2 linked regions of the Cricetulus griseus genome follow. The protein of the gene in region 1 interacts with the protein of each later gene in a pairwise test. Links are inferred from orthologs where the notes say so. Each region holds a gene or a part of one and is shown on either strand. Other genes may lie near its edges.

Region 1 (4,926 bases):
AGTTCAACAAAAGTAGGGTTTCTTTTTTATATCCTCGAGGGTTAAAACAGTGCCTAAACACCATCACTCTGGAGGAAAGGAAGGAAGATCTATGAATTCAAAACTAGCCTGGTGTATATAGCAAGCTCCAAGACAGCCAGAACTAGACTGAGAGATCCTGCCTCAAAAACAAAACAAAACAAACAGTGCCTAACAGTATCACAGCTTCTTGATAAACATTAGTTAAGTATTACACACCTACAGGGTTTTTTTAAGTTTTCATTCATTTGTCTCCCTGCCCAGGTCACATATACAGTTAGGAAAGGGAACTTACTTGGCTTATGTTTTTAAAGAAGGCAACCTAGAAATCATTTTATACAAACACTTTTCCAAATAAGAAGAGGTCCCAAAACATGAGTTTTCCCCAGGATAATAGAGCTAGTTAAAAACAGAGGGGGGGCTAAGTCAATAACAATGTTAAGTCTTGTGTGACATGGTTTAAGAGAACTACAATAATGAGCCGGGCATGGTGGTGCATGCCTGTAATCTTAGAAATCTACCAGGAAGGCAGAATCAGGAAGGTCAGGAATCCAGAAGTTCAAGGTCATCCTCAACTACCGCAATGGGTTCAAGACCAACCTAGGCTACAAATACACCCCTGTCTCAAAAACAAAAACAAAACCTACAATCATAAAAATGTACAATGGGAAAAGTAAAGAATATCTGTAAGTATACAGAGTAAAATAATTCTCTAAGGGATAATTCTAAGTTATCCAATTGCACCCAAAGGACCTAATTCACTCCTTCCTCTGAACATCCCCAAAGTCTCTATGCTCTACTTCATTTCCAAGTATCACTATCCTTAGCCATTGTGAAAGCAGTCAGCAAATAACAGGCCATAAGCGAAAGAATGGGAAAGCAAAAAGAACTATTAACTAAGTCTAACAGAAGAAAAAAAGTGACTACACGAGTCCTCAGATGTGTGCACACAGCAAGTGAAAACGCCCACCGGCATCTCTATCCTGTGGCTCCTCTTTATCATCCAGTGCTAACCCACCTCACTTTGTCTTGCCATTCTTCCTATGCCTCTGAGATTGACCTCACAATCACTCTGCCCGATAGACTACTTCTAGGGGAAATAAAAGCCAGCAAACAAAAGAATTCAAAAATAAACACCCAGGGAGTCCTTTTTAATTAAACCAACTGAGGTTACAGTGTGGGTTCTGCAAAGGAGACAAGAGGCTCACAGCAAACATGCCAGGCTTTAAGTACAGCTCCTTCCCTGCCACAGGAAGTCAGGCAGAGCACAGGAAGTCTTCAGCGCTGCAGAGATTTCCACGAGTGGTGTAATGGAGAGAGCACAGGAATAGGAATGAAACCAGCTATCGGGTTGGGTTTAGTCAAGTCCCTAGTCTTCTCTGAACTTTTAATTCCCTATCTATAAAAATGAGGTTGTTAAAATATGCTGGAATTTGAGCACACCCTTTCCCACCACACACACAAAAGGATGCAAAGTACCGACACTTCACTGAAAGTGCACATCAGCTATTCCGAGTAACTCTTCTAAGTGTATTAGATTGAGAAGCCCTAGTGGTCCCTTCCATCTCTAACATTCTATGGTTCTAAAAGAATTAAACAGCATCCCATTGCTGCTGAGTGAGCCTCTCCATTTCACAACCAATATTTTCTAAACAGAGACCAAATCCTAAAGCCTATAAAAGATTCATGCCCTTCCTCAAACTAAGTAGTAACCCACAGCATCAATATCTTTGCCACCCCCTCATCAGTCAGCTTACCCTTGAGGGCACAACTCAGAAACCAGTGACCCAACAACCCTATAGATTTTCTTTTCTACTCCAGGACACTAAGGAACTCGCCCTACGAATGTAGAATGCAACGGGTAAAGCACTGGAAGGGCATGCCCAGTGTCTGTCTCCAGACTTATTAGCACGTTGCACAAAACTGAGACTGAACACCACGGTGCCTCCACACTACCAAACTCCGCGGACTTCTCAGGACTCCCTGTGTAACTGATTGAACCCGCAAGCTAAGCCACATCCCCTTTCGGCTCTTTCCAGGAGTTGGCTGGCTTTTCAGTCTGTCCACACATGCCGCTCCCCTTTTCCCATCCCAGTGTGCCCAGGGAAAGCCAAAGGCTCCCCATTCTTCTCGGGAGCTTTCCCACTAGCTTCCCTCGTTCTCGACTCGGCCCAACAGCTCTCCTCTGGACAAACAGATCCAGGATGCCCAACTTCTCAAGGAACTGGGGACGAGTTTAAGAAACAGACTGCATCCCGATCCTGTTCAATCCCCCAACTCCAACAGGAAAATCCCACTCCCTCGCGCTGCCTGCGGGGCCCCCTTAGGAGCACAGCCCCTGCACCGGGCCCCAAGCCCACTCTCCAGCCAGGCCCACCCGGCGCCCCGAGGCCCGAGCCCGCCGCGGCCCGCCGTCACCGGGCGCCCGTCCCGCGCGGTCACCTGCATCCCGCCGTCGGCCGCCTCCTCGGTGCGCGGCCGCTTGCTCAGGCCGGGCTCGGGTCCGTCTGCCCCCGCTCCGGGCACCGGCAGCTCCAGCTCCGACTCCCGCTTCATGCCCCGAGCAGCGGCACCGGGCCCGAGCTGAGGCGGCTGCTGCTGGCCGCCTTCCGCCATCCGCCCGCGCCCCCTTCGCCTCCGGGAGCCGGGCGACCCGCGACAGGCCACCTCCCCCTGGGCCTTGGAGCCGACAGTCGCGACAGGCGGGCGCGCGCGCCGGCCCCCCGCGTGCGTGCGTGCGTGCGCGCCGGCCCGGAGTCCCGCTTCGGCTTCGCTACCGCTCCGACTCAGGCTTCGGCTTCGGCACCGGGTCGGCTCCGGCTTGGCTTCGCGCCGGCCGCTCGCTCGCTCGCTCGCTCGCTCGCTCTCTCTCTCGCTCGCTCGCAAGCGCGTGCGCGGCTCCCTCCGTCCCTTGGTCCTTCAGTCCCGCGCTCTTTCACCACTCGCCGGCTGCGCGAGGAAGGGGGCGGCCCGGGCTCCCTGCGTGGGGAGGGCTGTTTATTTGGGAGGAGGAGGAGCGCGAAGCCGCAGCCAGCTCACTGGTCGGGATCCTCCGTCCCGCCACTGTGGCAGCACCGGGAAGGCGGGGAGAGAGAAAGGAGGGAGAGAGGGAGGGACCTGGATGTGTGGGATTCGGGCCGCCCGCGCGAGAGGAGGCTGTGGTGAGGGGGCGTGGCTACGCCCCTCGGCAATCGCCGCCGCCTCCGCGCGGGCAGCCCGCGGGAGGCCATGAAGGGATCGGAAAAGCTCGGGAATCTCCGGGATGCTCTGGGAGGCAAGGATCGGGAAGGGTCCGCCTCTTTTAGGGCGGCGGCCGGAGCGCGGAACTGGAAGGACCCGGGTACGGGGCAGCGACTCAGGCTAGAGGTATTAGTTGTGCGAAGTGGGTGACCTGTTCTCTCCCGTCTGGCTGCCTGCGATTTGGGGAGCAGACGGGCGCTCGGCGAGAGGAGGGTCTCTTTGCCTGCTTCCTCTCCTGCCCAAGAACGGAGAAGTCCAGGAATGAAGACTTTCATATATGCTTTTCTATGAATAGAATGATCGCATTCCTGATGATCTTAATAATGCTCGATGTTTATAAGAGCTTTACGGTTTACACAATGCAATCGGGACCCGTTTTCAGTCCAATGGAAGAACCTGGATTTTTTCAAGTCTTGGAGCTGAAACGTGCTCGGTCCAGATCACATTCTCTTGTTTTTACTCTTTGCTGCTTGAGTAGCCGCTACCTCACTGTTTATCAGCTTCGTGCCGTTAGGTTTGTCCAGTAGTTTTTTTCCTGCCTGGCTGTAAATAGAAGCTGCATCTGCCTCCCTGGGTCCCATACTGTGACATGTACATCGTGAGGGAATGTTGCACAATAGCCTAGCTTCTAACCTTTCCCTCGCTTGCTACTTTAAACAAGTTAGTTTTTCTTTTTGGATCCTTACTGCAGTATCTGTAAAAATAATCCTTTGAGTCAGTGGTTCACTTGGTACCTTTCCAACACCTCCCATTTCCATATTTGTCATTTGATAAATTTCACTTTTCACAAATAGAGGCTGCTGCTGGCATCCAGTGAATAGAGGCTGGGAATGTTGTTCAAAACTCTCCTGTGCATAGGACAGTCCCCACAAGAGAGAGTTGTCCAAACCAGAATGTCAATAATTCAGAGATTGAGAAACCCTGGGTTAGATGATTTCTGAGGTCACTTGCAGCATGTCTCTGACTTGGCCTTTGAACTTGAATTAAACACCTAAAAATGGACAGAGTGGTGAAGATCTGTGTCAGAGTCAGACCAGCTTAATGAGGCCCAATGTGCAGGCTAATTGGAAAAGACTATACAACTTGCCTTGAAGCTGGGTTTTCCTACTGATTACATTGTATGTTTTTAGGCTGCAACATTGATACCTTAGAAGGTCTTGACACCTTATAAAAGGAAGCCAATTAGTGACTCTTGTCCCTCAGCCTCTACACCTAAAATTAGCCTAACAATTGTATTTTTAAAGGAATTGTTATGAAGATCAAATGAGTTAACAGCATTAAGAGCTTTGATCGTGTTAAGATTTGAGTTACAAGTGTCCTCCAAAGGCTCATTTGTGGCAAGTATTGGATCATGAGAACCTACTTACTAGGGCCTAATGACCTACACAGTGAATTAATGCATTGATTGATTCATAATTGGGAGGTATTAAAGGATGGTAAAAACTGGAAGGTGAGGACAGATTGGAGGAAGTGGGTTGCTGGAACCATGATCTGAAAGCCTGTCTCTAATCCCCAGCCTCTTCCTCTGTTTGTCTCCAACCTTCTCCAGTCTACCTGGAGGTAAGTTAGTTCCACCACAGAATCCTTGCTGTGGTGTCATTTATGCCTCACCACCCTCATTCAGACCCAGGAGCCACAGAGTGACCAGTACCTAAAATGAGACAAAAC
Region 2 (5,007 bases), on another chromosome or scaffold:
TTTATTGGAAGGGGCTAAAATGGTGACAGGGAATCCGTGGAAGGTTATGTGGAATGAAGAGAAGGAAACAATCAAGCAATCAAGGCTATCCACAAAGCAGAAGGGGAGATAACTTTTGGGATTTCCACAATGAATTTTCACCTAGATATTGTTACTGGTGGCATTAGGGTCCAGGGATGGGTCTGGGGCGTTACCTGGAGGTAGAAACCAAGAACAAATACTAGATATATGGATCTATTCCAGTAGGGTGAAGGAACAACACATTAAAAAAAAAGTGATCAGGTGTCCCTGATGACAGGACTTACATATGTCCTGGCTTTGAAAAGGGTATTAGGGTTACTCCAACATACGCATGTACCCAGATTCTTAGTGAACAAGAAAAGTGTCGGAACTGTATCATAGCAACACTACAATAAAGTTAAATTGTGAGGCATAGGGTGTGGTAATTAGAAGGTGCCTGCAACTTTAATCCAACTTTTGCAAATATATGTTTATATAATTATGCATATGAGGGATATACAGGCTATTCCCCACTCTCCCTTACAGTTTGCCCTATCTTTATGCCATAGGCAAGGTAACTTTGTCTATATCAATTTCCCACTGTTAAGTAGTAGTGCCTTTAGTACCATTGTTCAGACGGGGTGACATTCTTGTCATCTCCAGTTGGTGTAGACGCAGGTAAGTAGAATTTTTGTCAGTATTTTAAATTTAATGATTTAAAAGGTCAAAAAGGTATTTCCTTAAAATTTTTGTTAGTTTTTTTAATATAAGTTGTTTCTGTAGTCTAGGTGAGTATAAATAAGTAGGTAGCCTGTGCTGACCATGAATTAGTTCTTACTTGTATTAACTTTATTCTTATTTTATGTCTTCACATGTTGGTTATAGGTGTGTACTACCTTGCTTTGTCTGACTTTATTTTTATGTATTTAATCTAAAAAAAAATTGGGGGTTCAAGGCAGGGTTTCTCTGGCTTTGGAGGCTGTCCTGGAAATAGGTCTTGTAGACCATGCTGGCCTGGAACTCAGATCCATCTGCCTCTCAAGTGCTGGGATTAAAGGCTTATGCCACCTCTGTCCAGCTTTTTTAATGTTTTGAGACAAGGTATGGCTATGTAGTAGCCCTGGCTGGCCTTGGTTTTGCACTGTAGAGATCCCAATTGCCTCCTTTTCCAGGTGCTAGGATTAAAGTTGTGTGCCATCTCGTTGGGCCTGGCTCTTTTATTTACATCTTTTAATACTATATCGTGTCTAGGTGAGTATGCAAGTAGAGGTCAGGAGGAAGAGTCAAGGCTTTCCACTGACTTTTGGCCTCTTAGGGATCAAAACTCCACGTCATTTCAGGTTTGGTGGCAAGAAATTTATACACTTTCAGCTTACTATCCTCTAGTTTTATTTTTGAGACAGTCTCATGTCAGTATGTAACTTGAAGGTGACTGGAACTACTTACTGATCCTTTGATTACTACTTGCCAAATACATTTCTCCATGCTCCAAAACAATTATTTTACAGCTGGGTGGTGGTGGCGGCGGCATAAACCTCTATTTCCAGGATTTGGGAGGCAGAGACAGGTTCTGAGACTGGTCTAGAGTCTAGAGTGCCGGAATAGCCAGAACCACACGGAGAAACCCTGTCAAAACTCCTTTTACATTGGGGTAGGGTGTTAGCCTTTTGCAGTGATGGGCCTTTGCTGTTGATGATGTCATTTATACTAGACAAGGCCTTACAGAACTATGACCCACTCTGGTCTTTGGCTCTTTTGCTTTACCTCTGTCTTTTTGATAGCACATAAGAGGAATACCCTTGTTTTGGGGGCATGCGGATATTTTTATTTTCTGTTTTTAAGGTTTTTTTTTTTTGAGACGGGGTTTCTCTGTTTCTTTGGAGCCTATCCTGGAACTAGCTCTTGTAGACCAGGCTGGTCTCCAACTCACGAAGATTCACAAGCCACCTGCCTCTGCCTCCCGAGTGCTGGAATTAAAGGAGTTTATAGTTTAAAGATGGGGAATTACGCCTTAGCCCAAGCTAGCCTAGAACGCAGAATCCTGGCCCACCTTTCTTTTTGGATGGGAGTCACAGTCATATAAACCTGACCTGGAACTCTGAGAAAATTAGCTGTTTCTCCCTCCAAAACTGATTAAATGTGTATACTTCCATGGCTGGTAACTAGCTATTTCTGTTATTTTCACTCATCCTTACTTCCATCTGTGAAATGGAGAAAATCATGTCTGATGAATATTATTAATATGCATATTAAATGAATGTTGTATAAAGGTTTTATTTTGTTTTTTTCTTTCAGCTACCAAAAATTGCCCAAGCTTGTGTGACATCAGCTCTGTCAAGTGTCCATGATGCTGGGCCCTGAGGGAGGTGAAGGCTATGTGGTCAAACTTCGTGGCCTACCCTGGTCCTGCTCAATTGAGGACGTACAAAACTTCCTCTCCGACTGCACAATTCATGATGGGGTCGCAGGTGTTCATTTCATTTATACTAGAGAAGGCAGGCAGAGTGGTGAGGCTTTTGTTGAACTTGAGTCAGAAGATGATGTAAAATTGGCTCTGAAAAAAGACAGGGAAAGCATGGGACACCGGTATATTGAGGTGTTCAAGTCACACAGAACCGAGATGGATTGGGTGTTGAAGCACAGTGGTCCAAACAGCGCCGACAGCGCCAATGATGGCTTTGTGAGGCTTCGGGGACTCCCATTTGGATGCACAAAGGAAGAAATTGTTCAGTTCTTCTCAGGGTTGGAAATTGTGCCAAACGGGATCACATTACCTGTGGACCCGGAGGGCAAGATTACAGGGGAGGCGTTCGTTCAGTTTGCCTCACAAGAGCTAGCCGAGAAAGCTCTAGGGAAGCACAAGGAGAGAATAGGGCACAGGTATATTGAAGTGTTCAAGAGCAGTCAGGAGGAAGTTAGGTCATACTCAGACCCACCTCTGAAGTTCATGTCTGTGCAGAGGCCTGGGCCTTATGACCGGCCTGGCACAGCACGGAGATACATTGGCATTGTCAAACAGGCAGGCTTGGATAGGATGAGGTCTGGTGCCTATAGTGCAGGCTATGGGGGCTATGAAGAATACAGTGGCCTCAGTGATGGCTATGGCTTCACCACTGACCTGTTTGGGAGAGACCTCAGCTACTGTCTCTCAGGAATGTATGACCACAGATATGGAGACAGCGAGTTCACAGTGCAGAGCACCACCGGCCACTGCGTGCACATGAGAGGGCTGCCCTACAAAGCAACGGAGAACGACATTTACAACTTCTTCTCTCCACTCAACCCCGTGAGAGTTCATATTGAGATTGGTCCTGATGGAAGAGTGACGGGAGAAGCTGATGTTGAGTTTGCCACCCATGAAGAAGCAGTGGCAGCCATGTCGAAGGACAGGGCCAACATGCAGCACAGATACATAGAACTCTTCCTGAATTCAACAACAGGGGCTAGCAACGGGGCTTATAGCAGCCAGGTGATGCAGGGCATGGGAGTGTCAGCTGCCCAGGCGACTTACAGTGGCCTGGAGAGCCAGTCAGTGAGTGGCTGTTACGGGGCCGGCTACAGCGGTCAGAACAGCATGGGTGGATATGATTAGTATAGTAGGAGCATTTGAGTTATTTCAATCAAAAATTTCACAGGCAGCCAATAAGCAGTCAAGAGCAGTTTAAACTCTAGAGGAAGCTGGGGGACCCACTTTGCACCATGAGTTTGTGAAAATCTGGATTAAAAAATTACCTCTTCAGTGTTTCTCATGCAAACTTTTCTTCTAGCATGTAATATTGAGTAAACTAAAACTATTTTCTTCCGCTTTTCTCAATTAACATTTTTGGTAGTATACTTAAGAGTGATGTTATCTGAGTTAAGTAGTTTAAGTATGTTGAGCGGATCTTTAAGCACACCACAGTGAACACACTGGGGACATGTACTTTTCTGGAGAACTCAAAAGGTGCTAGATCCCTGATGCAAAGAGAAGCATTTCTCATGTTCATTCTAGTTTATATTTTCATTTAAATCTTTAGGTTAAGTTTAAGCTTTTTAAAAGTTAGTTTTGAGAATTGAGACACAATACTAATACTGTAGGAATTGGTGAGGCCTTGACTTAAAGCTTTCTTTGTACTGTGATTTCCTTTTGGGTGTATTTTGCTAAGTGAAACTTGTTAAATTTTTTGTTAACTAAATTTTTTTCTTAAAATAAAGACTTTTTCACAATGACTGGCACAGCTTATCTACTCAGCGAAAGGCAGCAAACTGGGTGGTTGAGAAGGATCTGTAAACCCTTATTAACTTTTAGAAGGGATTTGAAAGTAGTCATGTTAGCTTCGAGCGGTGTCTCAGGCCTGTAATCCTAACACTTGAATGGCCGAAGCAGGCGGGTTGCCATGAGTTTGAGGCCATCTTGGTCTACATTGTTTAGGCTGGCAGATTCAAATAGTTGGGCACCGTCTTTTAAAATGAAAAGTGCATTGTAGAGACAGTGACTAAACAGTCCAGTATACACGAGAAGCACATAGTTGCTGCCACCTGTGATTATATACATTATATGCTATTGAAAAAATCCTAGCTGGGCACCGGTAGTGCATGCCTTTATTAATCCCAGCACTCAGGAGGCAGAGACAGGTGGAGTTCGAAACCAGCCTGGTCCACAAGAACTAGTTCCGGGACAGCCTCCAAAGCCACAGAGAAACCCTGTCTCAAAAACCAAAAAAGCCATAAACCTGCTTGTGAGTTCCGCATGCATGTCTGGTATCTGAAGTGACTAGAGAGGGTGTTGGATCCCCAGAATTGGAGTGCCTTGTAGTTACTAGGGCTCATACCTGAGCTTTCTGTAACAGTGGTAAGGGTTCTTGTAAGTTGAGCCATCATAGTTTGGGGGCGGGGGCATAAAGCATTTGCTGGAGTACCAACATTCAGTCTGGGGGTGATTTGCCAATTAGTGGTTAAGGCTACTGTTTTTAGGGTGACAAGCAAGTACAGCTATTGTCTACAACAAATGAGCCAAAAAGGAGCAGA

The links. The genes of interacting proteins can lie anywhere in the genome.
Region 2: the proteins of Rbfox2 (region 1) and Hnrnpf interact in binary tests that used the Homo sapiens proteins (3 or more experiments, as listed by UniProt). The link is inferred for Cricetulus griseus from reciprocal best matches to the Homo sapiens genes RBFOX2 and HNRNPF.

The regions. Positions count from the first base shown.
Region 1 is NC_048595.1:374,580,570-374,585,495, forward strand, and holds the start of Rbfox2 (RNA binding protein fox-1 homolog 2), read right to left. Parts: upstream 3,090-4,926; 5' UTR 2,635-3,089; coding exon 2,461-2,634; intron 1-2,460. UniProt on the Homo sapiens protein: RNA-binding protein that regulates alternative splicing events by binding to 5'-UGCAUGU-3' elements. Prevents binding of U2AF2 to the 3'-splice site.
Region 2 is NC_048601.1:27,002,770-27,007,776, reverse strand, and holds the end of Hnrnpf (heterogeneous nuclear ribonucleoprotein F), read left to right. Parts: intron 1-2,295; 5' UTR 2,296-2,344; coding exon 2,345-3,592; 3' UTR 3,593-4,209; downstream 4,210-5,007.